Linked DNA regions of Sus scrofa. Each later gene encodes a partner of the first gene's protein in a complex. Links are inferred from orthologs where the notes say so. Each region holds a gene or a part of one and is shown in the gene's direction. Other genes may lie near its edges.

Evidence for each region.
Region 2: CDK2AP1 (region 1) and MTA2 share a complex: the UniProt entries of both Homo sapiens proteins name them as parts of the nucleosome remodeling and deacetylase (NuRD) repressor complex. The link is inferred for Sus scrofa from reciprocal best matches to the Homo sapiens genes CDK2AP1 and MTA2.

What each region holds. Positions count from the first base shown.
Region 1 is NC_010456.5:29,627,982-29,637,864, forward strand, and holds the start of CDK2AP1 (cyclin-dependent kinase 2-associated protein 1), read left to right. Parts: upstream 1-3,102; 5' UTR 3,103-3,357; coding exon 3,358-3,412; intron 3,413-3,805; exon of another isoform or gene 3,806-3,915; intron 3,916-7,876; coding exon 7,877-7,974; intron 7,975-9,875; coding exon 9,876-9,883. UniProt on the Homo sapiens protein: Inhibitor of cyclin-dependent kinase CDK2. Also acts as a component of the histone deacetylase NuRD complex which participates in the remodeling of chromatin.
Region 2 is NC_010444.4:9,132,482-9,142,558, forward strand, and holds the start of MTA2 (metastasis-associated protein MTA2), read left to right. Parts: upstream 1-5,336; 5' UTR 5,337-5,924; coding exon 5,925-5,952; intron 5,953-6,100; exon of another isoform or gene 6,101-6,354; intron 6,355-6,680; coding exon 6,681-6,748; intron 6,749-7,159; coding exon 7,160-7,253; intron 7,254-8,875; coding exon 8,876-8,993; intron 8,994-9,107; coding exon 9,108-9,171; intron 9,172-9,352; coding exon 9,353-9,470; intron 9,471-9,729; coding exon 9,730-9,832; intron 9,833-10,021; coding exon 10,022-10,077. Other genes in the region: EML3 (echinoderm microtubule-associated protein-like 3), read left to right, coding at 215-370, 538-679, 1,108-1,259, 1,342-1,467, 1,567-1,698, 2,299-2,366, 3,017-3,105, 3,177-3,274 and 4 more. UniProt on the Homo sapiens protein: May function as a transcriptional coregulator. Acts as a component of the histone deacetylase NuRD complex which participates in the remodeling of chromatin.

The sequences.
Region 1 (9,883 bases):
ATTGAAAACATATTCACAAAAATTTGTACACAAATGTTCATAGCAGCTCTATTCATAATAGTAAAAAGTGAAAACAAACCAAATATCCATAAGCTGATGAATGGATAAGCAAAATGTGGTCTATCCATACAGTGGAAATACTCAGCCATGAAAAGGAACAAAGTCTTGATACATGTTGCAATATAAATGGACCTTGAAAGCACTATGCTAAGTGAAAAAGGCTGTACACATATTGTATGATTTAATTCATAGGAAATGTCCAGAATAGGTACATCCATAGGCATGGAAGGTAGACTAGCAGCTGCCTAAAGCTATGGGTAGTGGGGGATGGGGAGTGACTGCTGTTAGGTATAGATTTTCCTTTTCAGATGACAAAAATGTTCTAGAATTAGATAGTGGTGGTGATGATCACAAAACTCACTGAACTGTTGAAGTGTGTGTGTGTGTGTGTGTGTGTGTGTGTGTGTGTGTGTGTGTGTGTGTGTGTGCATATATATATATATATATATATATATATATTTTTTTTTTTTTTTGGTCTTTTCTAGGGCCGCACCTACAGCATATGGAGGTTCCCAGGCTAGAGGTCTAATTGGACCTGTAGCTGCTGGTCTATGCCACAGTCACAGCAACGTGGGTTCCAAGCCACATCTGCAACCTACACCACAGCTCATGGCAATGTCAGATCCTTAACCCACTGAGCAAGGCCGGGGATTGAACCTGCAACTTCATGGTTTCTGGTAGGATTCGTTGACCACTGAACCACAACAGGAACTCCCTGAACTGTATATTTTATTTTATTTTATTTGGCTGCACCAGTGGCATGCAGAAGTTCCTGGGCCAGAGATTGAACTCCCACCATAGCAGTATCAACATCTCGAATCCTTAACCACTTAAAAGGATAAATTTTATACTAAGTAAACTAGATCTCAATTAAAAACAAAAGGAAAAATATTTTTCAATAACGATTAGTGAGGGGGATGGTGGGCAGCATGTTAAAAACACAACATAGAAAGAAAAGAGCCCACAGCATCTGTAGAAGGGACTGAGGCAGGCCACAGAGATCTGGATTCTTGCTGCAAGGAAATGGAGGTTTTGTCAAACAGCTGGCAGGTGATGGAGCCAGAATGAATACCTTATGAGTCCAATTCTTGTAGTTTCTAGCCCTTCACTGGTTCAACAGGAAAATCGCTAGCTATCATGGCTACTGAGCACTTGACCTGTGGCCAGTCTGAATAAGGATGAGCTGTAAGGGTAAAATACAGTTTGGGTTTTGAAGAGTTTAGTATCATAAAAAAGAATGTAAAGTATCTTAATAATTGCTTTATATTCATTATGTATCAAAATCATACCATTTTGGGGTATATTATGTTAAATAAACTATGTTATAATTGAGATTAATTTCACCAGTTCTTACTTTCTAAAATGTGACTACTAAAACTTTTAAATTATTTGCGTGGCCTGCAATACTTTTCTTTTAGACAATGCTACTCTAGAGTACTGGTCCTCTAGAGGCAGGGTAGCAAAAGGGTGATATTAATTTATTCGTGAAAAAAATTTCACTGAGCATTCTTAAAAAAAAACGTGTTTTTTTTTTTTTTTTTTTTGTCTTTGTCTTTTTCGGGCTGTACCCGTAGCATATAGAAATTTTCAGGCTAAGGGGTTGAATCAGAGCTATAGCTGCCAGCCTATGCCATAGCCACAGCAGCTCAGGATCTGAGCCGAGTCTGTGACCTACACTACAGCTCACGGCAATGCTAGATCCTTAACCCACTGAGCAAGGCCAGGGATCGAACCTGCATCCTTATAGATACTAGTCGGGTTTGTTGCCGCTGAGCCATGATGGGAACACCTAAAAAATTTTTTTTTATTATAGTTGATTTACAATGTTCTTGTCAATGTCTGCTGTACAGCAAAGAGCTCAGTCATTCATACATATATACATACATACACACATATATATATATACTTACACACACTTCTCACATTATCTTCCATTATGTTCTATCACAAGCGATTGGATATAGTCCCCGGTGCCTAACAGCAGAATCACTGAACATTCTTGGCTGAACCAGCCTAAAGCTTATCACAAGGGGTGCTGAGAAGGGAGTGTCACCTGTACCTTCATTCCTAAAGGGATGGAGGGAAGGCATGGATGGTGTCCCTTTGCTTTCAGGCAAAAAGGTTGATGCCTTCCTCAGTAGATCCGGATGTATCTGAATGTCTGTGGCTAATCAAAAAAATTCGGCAAAGCATGGCGATTACAAAGGGCAGAAAAGGGTGGGCATCTCTTGTATTTTGACAAGATTTACTATTCAAGCAGAACTCCAAGAAATAATACCTTCAAAAGCTTCATCACCTAATGCAAAATACATTTGGTGATTGTGTTTCAGTCAGATCTGAGAAGTGGGCTGGGGTGGGGGTAGAGGAGAGTCAAAAATTGCAAAAAAATTCTCCAGGAGAGAAGAAACTTTGTCAAGTTTATTCTGTATCTTTAGCACCTGGAACAGTGCACCGCACACAGTAGGCGCTTCTTAAGTATCTGAATGTGTTAAGATGCAAAATTGTGTGAATGTTCGGGTGTATTTTCCAGGGGAGGAGGCTGCTGGCTTTTGTACAGTCTCAAAGGTGTCTAGGCCCCTAAAGGGTTAAAACCACTTAATACCGACAGGGACGTGAAATTTATTTGAAATCAATGTCAAAAATTGGTTGTTCTTACTCTGGGGTGTAGCCAGACCTTGGCGTCTGGAAAGATCTACGCGCTTAAAAATACCACTCGCCACCATTTTCTCCAGGTAATTTTCCATCCCTGCCCCCACAGTCCAGGGGGAAAAAAGTAATTCTGCAATCCTACCTAGCTATTAAAAAAATTAATCGGTAAAAGAACAAATCTTCAGGCGCCGCCTGCGTAGAAGAAGAAAGGGACCCACGCGGGCCTCGGGCGCCGCCGGGACCCCAGCCCCCCAAACTTTGCCAAGTTGCGGGCGCCGAGCGCGCCCGGAGGCGCGGGGCGCGGCAGCGGGCGGAGCCGCCCCCTGACGCCGGGCCGCGGCGCGCCGGGCCGCCCCCTCCCGGCCCGGGCCGGCCCCGCTGGCTCCGCTCAAAGTTTGCGGCCGCCCCTGCGCCCGCGCGCCCGCCCGATGTATGGGTGATATACTGCAGCGGGTGTCAGGGTGAGGGACGGCCATATTTGCCGGTGCGGCCCGAGCCGTCAACAACAAAAAGTGCGCGGGAGCTCGGCGGGCGCACGGACGGGCGCACGGACGCCGGGGCCGCCTCGCCGCCGTCCGGCCTCGCCGCCGCCGTCGCCCTCGCGGGCCTGGCCCCGCTGCGCCCCGGCGCGCCCCGCCGCTCGGGGGGATGTCTTACAAACCGAACTTGACCGCGCACATGCCCGCCGCCTCCCTCAACGCCGGTAAGTGAGTGCGCCCTGCGGGCCGCGTGCGCCGCGCCCCAAGTGCGGCCAAGTTGAGGGCCCGCGCGCCCGGCCCCGGCCCCGGCTCCCGGGGACCCGCGGCGGCCGGGGGTGGCAGGCACCGGGTCCCGGCCCGGGGCAGCGGGGCCGCCGCCGCCGCCGCCATGATTCTGGCGCCCACGCCGCCAAAGTTCGCTGGTGCGCCCTGTGCCGCGCCGGGCCTCGGGCCGGGCCGGGGCCCGGGGCGCTGGCTGCCGCCGCGGTCCCCCCCACGCCGGCGGCTGAGGGCTCGCGGGGAGCGCGGCGAGCGAGGGCGGGGGAGGCTTTCTCGGCTCCGTTTTCCTCCGGCTTTTGGGCGGCTCGGCGAGGGCCCCTGCCGGCGGGAGTCGGGAGCGGCCGGGCCGCGCGGGGAGCGGGGCTCCGGGAGCGGGGCGCGGGCCGCCCTTGGGGAGCGGGGGTCAAGCCCGGGCGGGGGCCGAGACTGCTGCGTGCACGTGAGCAAGGTTAGGCCACGCGCGGCAGCGCTGCGGGGTGGCGAGCGTGCCAAGTGCAGCCCGCCCTGAGGGCCCGGGGCCGCTGGGGTCACCGGCGGTGCAGGGGACATCATCGGTGGCGGCTCGGCCTGGCGCGTGGGAGCGGGGTGCCCAAAATGGGGCTCGCGGCAAGGTCCCCTCAGGCGTGTGCGGCAGAATGAGCGAAGTTGAAGACCCGGGGTTTCGGAGTGCCTGCAGGCGGAGGGTGGGGGCGGCATTTCGGCCTGGGGCCCGCATTTCGGGGCCCCGCATCTTGAGCCCCCAACTCTGGGTTTGGAAGGTCCCCTCCCGCAGAAGCCTAGGGGCCGTCCTCTCCCTTCCTTGGGGCTGGAACTGGACGGTCCCAGGAAACTCCTCCAGAAGTTGTCAGGCAGCTTTAGGCTGTGTCCAGGGTCTCCTCCCAAGGACGAAAGGCACCGGGGGGAGGGGAGGGTAAAATTGTGGGGTTCGGGGGTGATTTGCTCTTTCCCTTCACTATAGCCCTTCTCCTTTGGACTCTTGGTGGGAAACAAACTTCCAAAAAGCTAGGCGCGTGGGGGCGTGGGGGGGTGTGATTGGCGGGGAGGAGACTGGCGTCTCTGGTCCGAAATGCCACGCTGGCAGTTGTCCGAAAGTTTTGAGCCTTGTCTCCAAATGGTTGACTCCATAACTCCAAAAATCCTATAGGGGACCCAGAAAAGCAATGCATGTAAATAAATAAATATTTATTTATTTTTTAACTTCTTAGACACAGATTGGGGAGTGGAAAGGGTTAAGATTCAGGATGTGATTGGGTGGGGGATAGCTAAGTTGGTCAAATGTGGGCTCTAAGCCTCAAGAGCAAACAGCCACTATTTTCTCTTCAAATGTTCTCACCTCTTCTGGGGTCTGCAAACCTTATAAAGACAAGCTTTGCTGCCTGTAGTATTTCTCACTGCCTCCTTCATCTGACTGTGGTAAGGATGGAGGGTCTTGCTGCTGCCTGTACAGGTGGGATATCTCAGGCCTGCCCTGGTACAGCTGAGGCAGGGACCCTAAACTGGGACCTTTGGGGACTGGGGTCACGGTGGCAGAGGCAGCCACTCAGCACCCCTGAAGTCCTGTTCTGGGCTGGCTAGCACCTGTGCACAGATTTTCTTCTTTCTCCTCTGGTGAACTCCAGGAGGAGTGCTGAGGTCCCCAGATCTGTGGCAGGCTGCTCCCCTCCCTGTGGACCCCTTTGGAAAGCCCGATCTCCCCCTGCCATTTGCATCCAAGATGGACTCTCCGCTGCCGCTCCTCCGGCTTCCTTGTCATCATCCCTCACGCCCTCCAGCCCTGCCTCCTGCTCGCGAGTTGCCAAGCCGCGGCCTGGCCGGCAGTGGCAGTGGCTGAGTTAGACAAAGCCCCTGCCTCCCCGCCAGAGAGCCCCCCCAGGCGCCCCAAGTGGCGGGAAGGCCGCCAGCTCCCCAGGCCCAGGCTGCTCTTTGTCTGGCGTGGGGGTGGGGAGCCGCGCCTGGCCCCAGGAGCTGCTGGCCTCTGCCAATCCCTCCCTCAGCTCTGGGCCCTCCCTGGTCCCCCGCACACTGCGCACATTGTCTGCGATGCTCCGAGACGGCCGGCCAGCCGTGCTCACGCCCAGTCTGGTTTTCTCCGTGGCCTTCGGCAGCCGCTGGCCCTCCCTGTATCTGCGGGAAGGAGTGGGCATGAGTGGAACTCAGGGCCCTTCTGCAAACTCTCCCTAGGGCCACAGATACCCTCCCCGCCAACAGCAAGTGAGGCCACTGATTCGGGGTCCCTACCACATCACCCAGGGCAAGTCAAGCCCTGGGCTGTTTCCCATCTCCCCCTCCCTCCACACCCCTAACCAAAACGTGGGGGCTCTCCTTCCTCCCTCTTCCCAGAGCTCCCCTAAGACCTAACCCCAGCATTGCGGAGGAGTAGGAGCTAGAGCCTTTAGACATTCTGTTAGGAACCATTGCCTCAAACTGACGGATAAACTGAGGCCCAGAGAGGGAAGGGCCTTGCCTTAAGTCACACAGCTGAACTGGCTCCTAGTCCAGGCCCTTGCCTGTAGGAGAGAAGGTGGGGTCAGGGAGGCAAGAAATGCAAAACAGCAATAAGAGGAGGAGGACAGGTGTCCAGCTCACCTCCTGCCAGGGAGTTGGAATCTTCTAGATGCCTCAAAGTGCTGAACAGTGCAGTTCACCCCCCACCCCTCGCCCCCAGTCTTGGCATTTAGCATCCTGGCCTTACAGAATGGTGTAATACCTTGTAGTGGCCAGGACTTGAACCTGGGCCTGGGATGGCGAAGCCTGAGCTACCCAGACCGCACTCACCACCCACATCAGAAGATCAGGAAATTGGGGTTTGGTTGATGTGGTGAGGAGACCTGGGGTGTGGGGGACACCCGCCCTGCCACACCTTCTTGTGTTCTGGACACTGCACACTCACAGTTGCCTCAGACAGAGGTCCCACATGTGCTCACGTGCTTGTAGTTCCATACCACAGGTGTTTCAGCATCGCTGCTCTAGAGGTGTGGCAGTGAGGCTCCGAGCAGCACAGCGCTGTGCCCAGTCTGCAGCCTAGAGGTGGCAGAATCCATGTTTCCTGACTGCACATCTTGTGCTTGAGCATAAATCCGGGCCCCAGTGGAAAAATTCCAGGGCAGGCTTGAGATTGGGTATGGGGCTGTCCCCAGCTTCTGGACAGAGGGACAGGTAGCCGCTTCTGCACTGTGTGGCCTGGGGCAGTGCCCACCCTCTCTGGTCTGTGTTGCTCTCTCTCCAGGGAGGGGCTCCAGGGCTCCTTCCAGTTCTATCAGCCTGAGCTCCTGACTTCCTTCCTCCCTGCCCCTCCCCTTGCCCACACCAGATGAGCAGCTGGTCGGTTTGGCCGGCCTGGCACCAGCTGTCCATCCCCGGGGCCAAGTCTGCAGAGCCTGCTGTGTGCGTGAGAGAGGGACCGTTTGGCTCTGGGGGCGGCAGGCAGAGGGGAAGCTGCTCCCCGGCCAGGCGTGGAGGCAGGCGGGCAGCTGCTGAGGAGGGCTAGGTAAATTCTCCATGGTTACCGCTGTTTGTAATTCTGCAGGACATCCTTTACCCGCTAATGGCCACTCGGACGCCATTACGGGTCTGCATGCTTCCAGCTACTGAGCTGGAGCTGGAAAATTCCCTGTTGAGCATCTCCCAACTGCCATCTGGGAGACTCCATTCTGGGCCTGGCCCTGGCCCCACGTGGCCCCTCTGCTGCGGGCCAGTGTCTCCCAGTAGGGTCTGACCCCTCCTCTCTTGGGGTGCAAGCCATCTGGGCATAGACTCAGACTGTCAAGACTCTTGTCCCCTCTTTGGGGAGAGGCGACAGGAGCTCAGAGGTAAGGGACTTGTTTGAGGATATGCAGGCTGGGATGTACTCCAGATTCCTGACTTTGTATCTAGAACACCAGTCCCCTGCTAGGGTTGGGTCTCAGAACCTCTCGACTGTCCCCCATCTTCCTCACGATATAGTCCAGCAGAGGTTAGGGCACAGAGGAAGTATTAGCCCAGGAGCAGGCCAGCCTTAGTGGCAAGTGGGCTCCTGTGGCAGGCTTGTGGCTCTAGGGTATCAGCCTCTGGGGAGCAGGACCCAGGGAAAGGGGACTTGCAAGGGTTAGGCAGGAAACAGCAGCAGATTTCATCTTTGGTACCAATCTAGACTGAATGGATGGGAAGGATTTCTGTGTTTGATTAGCAATGTCTGCTGTGGTGGTTGGCGTATGTGAAGATCAGGAGCCTATTAGCTATATTTTACCATCAATCATCTAGGCTGCTTGTCAGCCATGGCCAAACCAGGAGCAAGAGTAGGGTTCTCTGTCCTTGGAGATAAAAGAGTACTGTTGATGGCTTGAGGCCTGAGCAGGAGGACTGAGAGTCCTCACCTCTGGTACAGTTAGCCAAGGCTACTTGATTATTAACTCCTGTCTCCTTCCCCGTAGCTGGGAGTGTCCACCCGCCCTCCACCAGTATGGCGACATCTTCACAGTACCGCCAGCTGCTGAGTGACTATGGGCCACCATCTCTAGGCTATACCCAGGTACAGCAGGGGGGGTGATGCCCAGGGGGAGGGGCTCTGAGGGCAGCCTGGGCCCTGAGGGGGAGCTGTGGAAGGAGTAGAGATGAAGGAATGGAGCGGTCATCTGAGCCTCCTCAACTCAAGGCTAGGGCTTCAGAACAGAGGGGTGATGGGAGTTCCCTTATAGCTCAGTGGGTGAAGGATCTGATGCTGCCACTGCAGCGGCCTGGGTCACTGCCATGGTGCGGGTTCAATCCCTGGCCTGGGAACTTCCACATGCTGCATGTGGGAGGCTGGAAACTCCAAGAGCCACAGTCCTGTTGGGACCACCAGCCCACATATGTCCCTGGGGGTTTTCATGCTTTGTTCCTAGGGAAGTGAGGTATGGCCTCAACTCTTGCTCTGAGCTTGGATAGAGGCTGGTGTCAGGGGGTGCCCATTCCCACTCATTCCCCACAAGGTTGTGGCCCCGTCAGAGAGGTGGGGGCTCATGTCCTAGTGGAGTCCGGGTGGGTTTCATAGAGAGCTGGGGGCCCCTGAGTTTCACACCTGGTTCCACCAGTTACAGGACCATGACCCCTACTTGGCAACCTTGCCGAGACTTGGTCTTCCCACTGGGTTTGGGGGCCATCAGTGGAGAAAGCCAAGGAAGTGGTGCCCCAAGGGCCCTCGGTGCCTGGGCTGCCAGCTGTGAGGTTCTCCCCTGTAGTGGCTGGAACTCATGTTCCGAGGTCGCCATGGAGGCCAGCCTCTGGGATAAGGTGGCGGCTCTTGGCCATGCCCCGCCAGGCTGTCCTAGCCCCCAAGGGGAAGTGGGCGCGGACCCCTTTGAAGAGGCGGTGGTGGGAGGACGGTGTCAAGTGTGGCCTGGATAGGCCCCACAGTGCCCTGGCTGTGAGGCAGCGGCCAGAGGAGAGGAAGGGCCACGGATTCCGGAGGAGGCTCCTGGAGGATGCTGAGGAACAGGACAAGGAGAGGAGGAAGGATTGGGAAGCCAAGAAACAGGCAGCAGAGGAGGGAGGAGCAGGCGAGGGTCTCCCGGTCAGGACACAGCTGCTCTGATGCAGCTGTGGGGAGGGGGACGGGAGAGGGAGGGTTGGGGTGAGGCCCGAACTGGCAATCTCCGCCCACAGCCAGGCAGGAACCTGGTCTCATTGATCTGGGTGTTTCCTCAGGCTGCTAGGGGTCTGGAGAGAAAGTTCTGTGCCGTGGGCCCTGCCAGTAGGGGAAGATGGATGAATTAAACATATCTGGGGCTCTGGTGGTTTTTATAGTCCTGCCAAACCAGGTGTGGCCTCCATCTCGTCCACTCACTCCGTCCCTCAAGCCCGTCCATCCTGCTCCTTCCTAGGAAATTCCCAGTGAACCCTTTCCTGTTGACAAGCCAGTCTTTTTTTTTTTTTTTTTTTTTTTTTCTTCTTTTTTCATTTAAGATGATAACAGCTTTCTGTAGACTGCTGGGTGGTTTCTCTGAGTGCATAGGGACTGTAGGGAGTGCCGGCTCCTGGTCTGTAATTGTCCCCCAGAGAGGACGAACCTGGCTCTAGCAGAGGCAGGAACCTTGAGAGTTTAGGCCAGGCCACTTTCCCTCCACCATCTGCCCCTGCCCTTGCGAGACTGGCACGTGGTGGGGCCTTGACCATGGCATTGGGGTCAGGTTGGGCTCAATCTATCTGAACTACTTTTTTTTTTTTTTTTTTTTTTCCTCTTTTAGGGCTGCACCTGTGGTATATGGAAGTTCCTGGGCTAGAGGTTGAATCAGAGCTGCAGCTGCTGGCCTACGCCACAGCCATGGCAATGCCAGGTCCTTAACCCACTGAGCGAGGCCAGGAATTGAACATGCATCCTCATGAATTCTAGTTGGGTTTGTATCCCACTGAGACACAATGGGAACTCCCTGAACCCTTTCTTTCTGATTCTAGGGAACCGG
Region 2 (10,077 bases), on another chromosome or scaffold:
TTCTGGTGGGTCCCCTGGGGGTGAAGTGGAGAGGCTGGACCTCATGGGGGACAATGAGTTCAGTTTTAGGGTGATGAATCACGAGCGGCTAGGAGTCCTGCTCTTAGGAGACCAGGACCTTGGAGGAAGGGTTGTCCTGAGGTTTCTGCAAAGAGTCGGGTAGAAGGAAGGTGCGCAGGGCTTGGGGTGGTTGAATCTAGTATCTTCCCTTCAGAGTACAAATGACTCAGTCCTGGCCGTTGGCTTCAGCCCTCGTGACAGCAGCTGCATTGTCACCAGCGGGAAATCCCATGTCCACTTCTGGAACTGGAATGGTGGCGCCGGGGTTCCTGGGAATGGGACCCTCACCAGGAAACAGGGTGTCTTTGGGGTGAGGTGTGGATGGGGGCAGGGCGGTGGGGGAGGGAGGGCAGAGCGGAAGTGGACGTATGGGTCTGAGCACTGTAGCCCCTGGTGCCCTTCAACTCCCAACTGTCTTGTGACCTTTAGCCTTTGCCCCGCCCTTTGACCTCCGCTCTCTGCTCCCCTCACCCCTAGAAATACAAGAAACCCAAGTTTATCCCCTGCTTTGTGTTCCTCCCGGACGGAGACATTCTCACTGGGGACTCAGAGGGGAACATTCTCACCTGGGGGCGGAGCCTCTCAGATTCCAGGACCCCAGGCAGGGGCGGGGCCAAAGGTAGGTGGTTGGGGGTGGCTTCCAGGAAGGCTAGTTCCCCAGGGGGGTCTGTGGACACTGAGCAGAGGATTTCCCATCCTTTTACCTTGAGAGGTGATGGCGCTCTATCAGAGAGTGGGACCCTCGGGGTGGGGGTGGGGGTGGGGGTCCAGTCTGGAAGGGTAGGGGCGGCATGGCAGAGGGAAAGGCCTGCGGCTTTGGAGTCTGCCAGATGCTGGGTTCAAATCCCAGTTTTGCCCCTAGTTGTCTGGCCTTTAGGAAGTTACTTCACTTCTTTGAGCCCTGGGAGAAGGGCTGAGGCTCAGAGACACCATCCAGTAGGCAGCCAACAGCCAGGTGTTCCTACTCGATTGTGACGGCCTGGGCTGCTCCTGTTCCCCACGTCCCTGCACCCCAAAAGCGTGACCCAGCCAGGACTTTGCCAACAGAGACCTACGGGATTGTGGCCCAGGCCCACGCTCACGAAGGGTCCATCTTCGCCCTGTGTCTCCGGCGGGACGGGACCGTGCTGAGTGGTGGTGGGCGGGACCGCCGGCTGGTCCAGTGGGGGCCCGGGTTGGTGGCCCTCCAGGAGGCTGAGGTGAGGCCTGGGCCGGGGACAGAGGAAGGAGGGGGAAGAGGAATGGTCAGTGGCGCTCTAACTTTCTGCCACCACCCTGCAGATTCCGGAACACTTTGGGGCCGTGCGGGCCATCGCAGAGGGGCCTGGCTCTGAGCTGCTGGTGGGGACCACGAAGAATGCGTTGCTGAGGGGAGATCTGGCTCAGGGCTTCTCCCCTGTAATCCAGGTTGGCGGGGGGGCGGGGCACGGGGGCAAGGGCTCCAGGAAGCAGGGAGGGGAGAGCTTTTGGGGAGCCGCAGAGGTGACAGCCCATACTCTGCTGCAGGGTCACACGGATGAGCTCTGGGGGCTCTGCACGCATCCCTTCCAGAACCGATTCCTCACCTGTGGCCATGACCGGCAGCTCTGCCTGTGGGATGGGGAGGCCCATGCACTGGCCTGGAGCCTTGATCTCAAGGTAGGCTCTGTGTCCCTGGATCCTCCTTGTCACCCCCACCATGACTCCTGTGGTCACCCCTCCTTCGCCAACATCCCCTTCTCTTCTGCTCCCAGAGGCAGCCAGTTTGTACTGGTGTGGCTGTACCGGCAGCTAAAATGTTCATTCTTCTGTACAGATGCCTCCAGCGGCCCCTCAGCACTGCCCTCCCTCAGCCCCTAGACCTCCCCCTGCCTCCACCCCAGGCCTCCTGTCCCTCTCCTCATTGAGAGGAGGAGGCTTTAGTGTTTTTTCCTTTTTGCCATTTCTAGGGCTGTTCCTGCGGCATATGGAGGTTCCCAGGCTAGGAGTCTGATCGGAGCTGTAGCTGCCAGCCTACGACAGAGCCACAGCAACGCAGGATCCAAGCCGCGTCTGCGATCTCACGGCAACACCAGATCCTTAACCCACAGTGCGAGGTTGGGGATCGAACCCACAATCTCATGGTTCCTAGTCGGATTTGTTAACCACTGCGCCACGACGGGAACACCGAGGAGGCTTTAGTGTTATCAGGATGACAGGGTATCCACCTTGGTTCCCTAGAAAGGCATCTCCCTGAATTCACTTTCTGCCTTCTCCCAGGAAACTGGTCTCTGTGCCGACTTCCACCCCAGTGGTGCAGTTGTGGCTGTGGGACTGAATACGGGGAGGTGAGAGGGAGCTGGGACTCCTGGGAGGGGAAAGCAGGAGGTATGGGAAGGGTTTCTGGGAATGGGGTGTGTGTGTGGGAGTGTGATCAGTGCCTGCTCAGGAGCCCCAACTGCACCTTCCTGCTCCTCAGTGCTTTTCCCTGTAGCCCGGGTCTCCCCTGTGGCAACTGTCACCACATCCTCCCTTCTAAGCCTGCGAGTGGAGGAGGTGGCAGCTCGGAGCAGAGAAGCAGCAGGGATGGAAGGGACCTAGTGAGGACTGACACAGGGAAGTGACAAACTTAGAGACGCCACAAAGCCCTTGTAGTTGGGCCCCTGTACCCCCAGCTGCCTTTGATCTGCCCTTAGCCCCCTGCTACTTCCCAGCATAAGAATGCAATGGCAGGAGTTCCCTGGTGGCATAGTAGGTTAAGGATCCAGCTTTGTCACTGCTGTGGTTCAGGCTCCTGCTCTGGCATGGGTTCAATCCCTGGGCCAGGAATTTCTGCATACCTCAGGCACAGCCAAAAAAATGCAATGGCAACCTCCCTGTCTGCATCATAGCTTTTCTGGGGGTACCTCTGGGGCACGCGGACTTGCTCACCACCACCCTGCCCAGGACAGGGATCCTCACACCTGCTTTCTGCCCCCCGCCCCCCCCGCGCTTCCAGGTGGCTGGTTTTGGACACAGAGACTCGGGAGATTGTGTCTGACATCACTGATGGCAACGAGCAGCTCTCAGTGGTCCGGTACAGCCCAGGTGGGAGCCACCCCGACCCCGGACCTAGACTCGCCCCTTGCCCTTCCCCCTCTAAGTGACTGTCTTTGTAGATGGGTTGTACCTGGCCATCGGTTCCCATGACAACATGATCTACATCTATAGCGTTTCCAGTGATGGTGCCAAGTCCAGCCGCTTTGGCCGCTGTGTGGTGAGGAAGCTGGGGTGGAGGGTGGGGCAGTGACATAGCAGGTAAACTAATACACTTCAGGAGGGTTGGGGAGGGGAACTGCTGGCCGCATTTTTAGTCTTTTGACCCTTGCTCCCAGGGTCACTCCAGCTTCATCACGCATCTTGACTGGTCCAAGGATGGGAACTTCATCATGTCCAATTCTGGGGACTATGAGATCCTTTACTGTGAGTGACAGTAGGGGAGGGCACAGGGAGAGGGTACTTGGGGTGGGTTTTATTTGTGTGGGGGGCTCCCAGTTGGGAGGGGATGAAGGGCGATGTGGGGAGCTCCAAGTGGAGGGGCTGTCAGAGAGGGGGTGGAGATAGGTCTGAAGTGGAGTCAGAATTTTACACATAGGAGAAATTCTGTCATTTGGACCAAAAAAACCCCACACCTACAGTTTTACACTATGTCTTGACCCGCAAAGGCCTTGAGGGAGTTGAAAAACGCACTAAGAAAAGATTGTTTTGGAAAAGTTTCTCCAGACAGGTGTGGAGGGATTGACTTATCTAGGGAGGAGGAACTGGGGAGGAACTATTGGGAGAACTTCAGCTGAGAACTCTGGAAGCACACGGGAAGTTCCCCCTGGAACAGTGTGGTAAAGATCCAGCCTTGTCACTGCTGTGGCTCTGGTTGCTGCTGTGGCAGGGGTTCCATAGATGGCCCAGGAACTTCTGCATGTCACAGGTGCAGCCAAAGAGGAAGCACGTGGGCTGAGTTTTGCCCTGAACTGAGGGCTACCATGGGGACCAGATCACATGCCAGTGCCTCAAGTATTTCCAACTTGGCCTTCTATGGCATCTTCCAGCTGAGGGCAGGGTGAGACCTGATCTGGGTGGGCTCCCTCTCCCCAGGGGACGTGGCTGGAGGCTGTAAGCTGCTGAGGAATCGCTATGACAGCCGAGACCGGGAGTGGGCCACCTACACCTGCGTGCTGGGCTTTCATGTCTATGGTGAGCAGGGACGCAGGGCCCCAGAACTATGCCTCGAGAGTCGGGGGACAAGGTGCAGACTGCCCGGGGCTCGGAATGCTGGGCATGTGTGGAGGGATGGGCAGATCCAGCCCTGGGGGGCCCCTCCAGCAGGCCCTTGGGACCGGGAAAGATTGCCTGGAACGCGGCTGGTGGGTGGCGGGACTGACTGAGCGCTGGAATTGGTGCAGCTCTGGGCTGTGGGTGGTGGCGGGGAGGCAGGGCTAAGGCCGACGGCTGTGCTAGGCGTGTGGCCGGATGGCTCTGATGGAACCGACATCAACTCCCTGTGCCGTTCCCACAATGAGCGCGTGGTGGCTGTGGCCGACGACTTCTGCAAAGTGCACCTCTTCCAGTACCCGTGCGCGCGCGCCAAGGTGAGAGGCCTCCCAGGGCCTCCGGGGACGGCAGGTCAGGGCCCTGGGGCTCCACGGCCGCTGCAGCTCGACCTTCCCTCCTGCCCAGGCGCCGAGCCTCGTGTACGGCGGTCACGGCAGCCACGTGACCAGCGTCCGGTTCACGTACGACGACTCGCACCTCGTCTCGCTGGGCGGCAAGGACGCCAGCATCTTCCAGTGGCGAGTGCTGGGCGCTGGGAGCGCGGGGCAGGCGCCTGCCACGCCCTCTCGAACTCCCTCGCTGTCCCCCGCCTCCTCTCTCGACGTCTGACCGCTGCCCGACGGGACCCACCGGCCCTGCAGCGTGGCCCCGCCCCGCCCAAGTTTCCCAGGACCCGGGCCGACCCAGTCCTAGACTTCGAGACATTCCCGAAAGCTCATTTCCCTGCAGGGGGCGAACGGCACCCCTGCACACACTGTAAAGACCCGCTGGCTGAGCCGGGCAGCCCCAGCCTGGGCCCTGACTCCCGCTACCTGCTGAGGGGCAATAAACCAAAAGCAAAGTCGCCTCCCGGTCCTTTTGTCGGGCGCGGCTGGGCGCCTCGGGGCTCTGTGGGGTGGGGTGAAGGAAAAGGGGAATGCGGAAAGGGTGAGGGAGAGTAGACCTTTCATGCAAATAACAGGCAAAGCCGCTTGCAAATAACCCCGCGGAGTGCGGAGGCGCTACGAGTCTTTCGCCGCCGCGGGACTCGGGCGAGGAGAGAGTTAAGCCCAACTCCTCTCTCGCCCTCGGAGGCGGGGCCGAGCCGCAACGGAAATAACCGAGCGCCGGGACGCGATTGGCCGGAGGGAGCCGAACTTCTTCCGGAAGTAGCCGAGCTTTGAGGTCTCGCTCTCCGACCGGACCCGAGCGCTGGGCCTTGTTCTCCGGATCCGCCGAAGGTGTTCCGGAAGGAGGCGAACCCCGAGGCGGGCAGGGCAAGCCTTCGCGGCGGCCCGCAAAGTCCAACGTCTAGTGGGGCTCGGCGAGGGCGGGAGAGCTGGAGCCTGGCCCGGTCCGGCGGGAGCCGAGCTCGTTCCGGAAGAAGCCGAGCGGACCGGCTACGGCCTCGGCGTCCCGGGCGTGAGGCGATAGAGGCGGTGGCGACAGCGCGGGCCGGGATGAACCGCGACGGCTGAGGTGGCGGAGGTGCCGGCTGCGCGAGCCAGACAGAGACTTCTGCGAAGCGCCAGCCCCACGCTCAGGGCTTCGCTTCGAGCCCTGCCCCCGCGAGCCTCCCGGACCCCTTTGTGCGGCCGGAGGCGGCGGCGGGAACGGCCATGGCGGCCAACATGTACCGAGTGGGGGGTAAGTACCGGGCGTAGGGGCTGCGGGGCCCGGGGCGAGAGAGGTCGGGGGCCGGGACCGGAGAGGCTTGGCGCCCGGCGGCACGGGGAGTCGCGTCTGGGGCGGCGTGGTCCGGAGCGCGGACCGGAACCGGAACCGGTCGCACGGGGAGCGAGGGCGCGGGGACCGCGACGCGGCGGGTCACCGAGACTGCCGGAGAGACTTCGGGCGGCCCGACGGCACTCGCAGGGCTGCGCCTGGCGCCGCCGGGGTCGCGGGGTGGGCTTGGGAAAGTGGTTCCGAAGGAGCTGACAGGGCAGGCTAGGGGGCGCGAAGGGCCGGGGCGACCGCTTTGCCATCTGCGGGGGAGCAGCCGGGAGGCTTCCTCTCCCCAGGCGTTATTGTGCGCCTGGGTTCGCAAAGGTGGGGGCCCTGCGCTGGAGTGAACAATTGTTCGCTTGGCCGACACCGGGTGCAACTCCATCGCTGAGTTGCGGCGCCTGCTGGGGAACCCCCTGCTTCTGGGCTCCTCCTTAAGGCTCACTTTTGGGTGGTTAGGGGTGGCGGGTGGGGCACCCCTCCCTTACGTTCTGTTAGTCTCTCCACTTCCACATTTCAGCGACTTCTCTGCCTAGACCCTTTTCTCCTTTGGGTCCACTCAGGCCTCCTTTTCGTTCCTCCTACTCTCGTGCTCGGCTCTCCCATCCGCTCCTCTGATCTTCCCGGTTCTTCCCCACCCCCTCCTACAGATTACGTCTATTTTGAGAACTCCTCCAGCAATCCTTACCTGGTGAGAAGGATTGAAGAGCTCAACAAGGTGAGTGGAGCAGAGTCTTCTGGGCTCCCCCCCCCCCCCCCCCCCCCCCCGCCCAGTCCCTCCCCTGGTCTCTAACTTCAGGTGAATGAGAGAGGGAGGGAAAGAGGAAGAGAGCAGGAGAACATGAAGCCTGTTCTAAGTATTCATTCATATTCATTCATTCATTTGTTCATCCCATGCATTCAGGAAAGGCTCTTGACACCTTAGAGGATCTTGACTGTTCTATAAAGGGATTTGGAAGTCTGTCCTTAAATGCAAACGTCTTGATTCATAATTTCTTGGGTTTTTCTTATATCCTTCAGAAACCTGTTTGATGTTGTTAGTCTTGTCTTTCTGCAGTTCTACTTTCAAATGACTAGTTTTCACAGTGTTTTTTTTTTTTATTTTGTTTTGTTTTCTCTCTCTCCTTAGACGGCAAATGGAAATGTGGAGGCAAAGGTTGTGTGCCTTTTCCGGCGAAGGGACATTTCTGGTAGCCTCAACAGCCTGGCTGATAGTAATGCCAGTGAGTGTCTTTGTACCCCCGTCTCCCCCTGCCCATGATCTGAAACCTGGGCATGTCCGTGCAGGTGTTTCTCTTGGTATCATGCTCAAGGCAGGGGTGTGAGTTTGGGGGTGGGAAATGCCTGGTCTGCAGAGGGAGGCCTGTTTTTACACGTTGGGTTGGAAGCAGTGTGGAGAAACCATGACATGAAAAGTGAGAATTTGGCTGGTGTGTATTTGTGTGTGTGTTTGTGTGAGTGGGGTATGTAAAAGAGGTGGTAATGTTTAAAAGGGGGATGGAGAAGAGCTCTAATTTGGAGAAGCAACACTCTTGGGGACAGTTTTGGTTGTGTTGGGACAATGGGTGGTGACTGCGAAGGTCAAGGTGAACAGGAAGAGATTGTACTTAAAAGCTTGCATAACAGGGAAGTAGAGGGTTTTGTGATCAAGGGGGTAAGGCTATATTGATGGGAGAGAATAGGAAGCCCAGAAGGTTTTTTTTTAAGAACTTTTTCTCACCCATCCTGGCCTCTCTTCTCCATTTTACATCTTTCGTTTTTTTTTTTTTTTTTTTTTTTTTGGCCCTATCCGCTTTCTCTTTACGCTTTTGTTTTTTCTTGTTAAATTCATGTCTTTCAATTCCCCTTAGTTTTTTTTTTCCTTTCCTGTTTTGGCTTTCTTTCCCCTTTCTCTTATTCTTCCTTTCTAAATCATTTTGCTTACTTTTGGCGGCTTTGGGTGTTGGGCATGAAAGGGTTAATGAGCTGAGCCTACCAAGTTCTCCGGCCCTCTGGGGTTTCCAGTCCCATCTGGCAGGGGCTGACCTTGGCCTTGTCCAATCAGAAAGGGTGTGGGGGGTGTGGTCCCCCTTGCCTTCGCACAGGGTTTCCGGAGTGCTCAGAAGAGGGGTGGAGCCTACTACTGCACACCCCTGCCCCCCCTTTCTCCCTGAGGTTGGGAACAATGCACCAATGAGCCTGGGCCTGTGGCTCTTCTGCTCCCTCCCTGTTTGGTTGGCACCCAGCCAACTTAACCCTTTCCACCAAGGTTTCAGAGCAAGTTACAGCTCCTTGGGGAGGAAGGTGTTGGCACTGGCTTGAGAGGTACTGTCCTTGAAAGCCCCACAAATTATTATTAGCCAGGTTGAAAACAAGGGATAGTTAGGGTTGCATGTGACCTTTAAGAGCAAAGTCTTCTGAAATTTGCAAAGAACTGGTAAACACACCTTGTGTGGTGTATTTATTTATTTCTGTGTTTATTTTTAATTGGATTTCTGGAGCCTAGGCAAGTTTAGCATGAAAGAGACAAGTGTGATATTCTTGCTGGGCCTGGTGTGGTCAGATATAGGCTGTATGAGTGGTGTCTGGGCATTGGCACCTGGGCTTGGGATGTATTCCTCTGGCATCCTTGTACCCTCTGTAGCTCTTTCCTAAGAGCATTCATTAATGATGGAGACTTGGGAGCATCAGTAACTGGGAGAAGGCTGGGAGGGAAAGCTCGTGTGGTAAGGTCGTGGAAGGCAGGTGCCTAGGGAATGTGGGAAAAGCAAGTAAGATAGGAAATATTTTCCTTGGGTTAGGGTTTCTATGGTGGCTTCTTTATGAATTAGTTTCTGACTTGGTCTCTTCCTCCTTCATGTCCCAGGGGAGTTTGAGGAGGAATCAAAGCAGCCAGGGGTGTCGGAACAGCAGCGACATCAACTGAAGCACCGCGAGCTTTTTCTTTCTCGGCAGTTTGAATCGCTACCAGCCACCCACATAAGGTATAGGACAGTCAGGGCTACTTATTTAGGAGTTGGAGAGGAGGGGCTAGCGTGTTGGAGATGCTGAGCAGAGGAAATGAGCTCACCAAGGGTTTTCTGACTTCTCTCCTGAAGGGGGAAATGCAGTGTGACCCTCTTGAATGAGACAGATATCTTGAGCCAGTACCTGGAAAAGGAGGTGAGAAAGAGGTGGGAGAAGAGGGAGGGGGGTGGGTATTGCCCCAGAAGGCAAGAGGAGAAGTCAGACTGTGGTGAGGTCCAGGTTGACAGGCTGCCTGTCCTAGGGACTCCGGATATAGCCCACCGCCCCCGCCTGTGAGGACTGCTGCCCTGCTTACCTTCTGTCTTCCCTTCTCCAGGACTGCTTTTTTTATTCGCTGGTGTTTGACCCTGTGCAGAAGACACTTCTAGCTGATCAGGGAGAGATCCGAGTTGGTTGCAAATACCAAGCTGAGATCCCAGATCGCCTGGCAGAGGGTATGCCCCAGAACAGAGTTGTCTACCATCATAGTTCCTGAATGGTGTGCCCTGGCGCTGTGTGGTGCACTTTGCACAGCTCTGTGCTGTGTCCCTGACAGAACGGGACCTTAGGAACCTGAAAGGGGCAAACGGGCACATTGGGAAGAGAAGTCTGAGAGTTGAGGTGGCTGATAGGATCCAAGGAGGAAACAGGTGTCATTGTGAGTGTCAAGACACCTCTTATTCTCCCCGGTGATGCCATTTCCTCACTCCCCAGGAGAATCTGATAATCGGAACCAGCAGAAGATGGAGATGAAAGTCTGGGATCCAGACAACCCTCTCACAGACCGGCAGATTGATCAGTTTCTCGTGGTGGCCCGGTGAGGGGTGGGTGGATGGGGAAGATGGGCTGGGAAGGGGGTTGTAGACATGGTTCCGAGTCACTTTCTTAGAGACGGACTAGATTTGTTTGGGGCCCAGGTGGTGCCCTTGTTTTGCTCATCTGGCCTAGTTCCTCAGCCCACTCTCGCGTTCGTCTTTCCCTCTTGACTCCTCGCTCTCTCCCTTAGGGCTGTGGGGACCTTTGCGAGAGCCCTAGATTGCAGCAGCTCCATTCGGCAGCCGA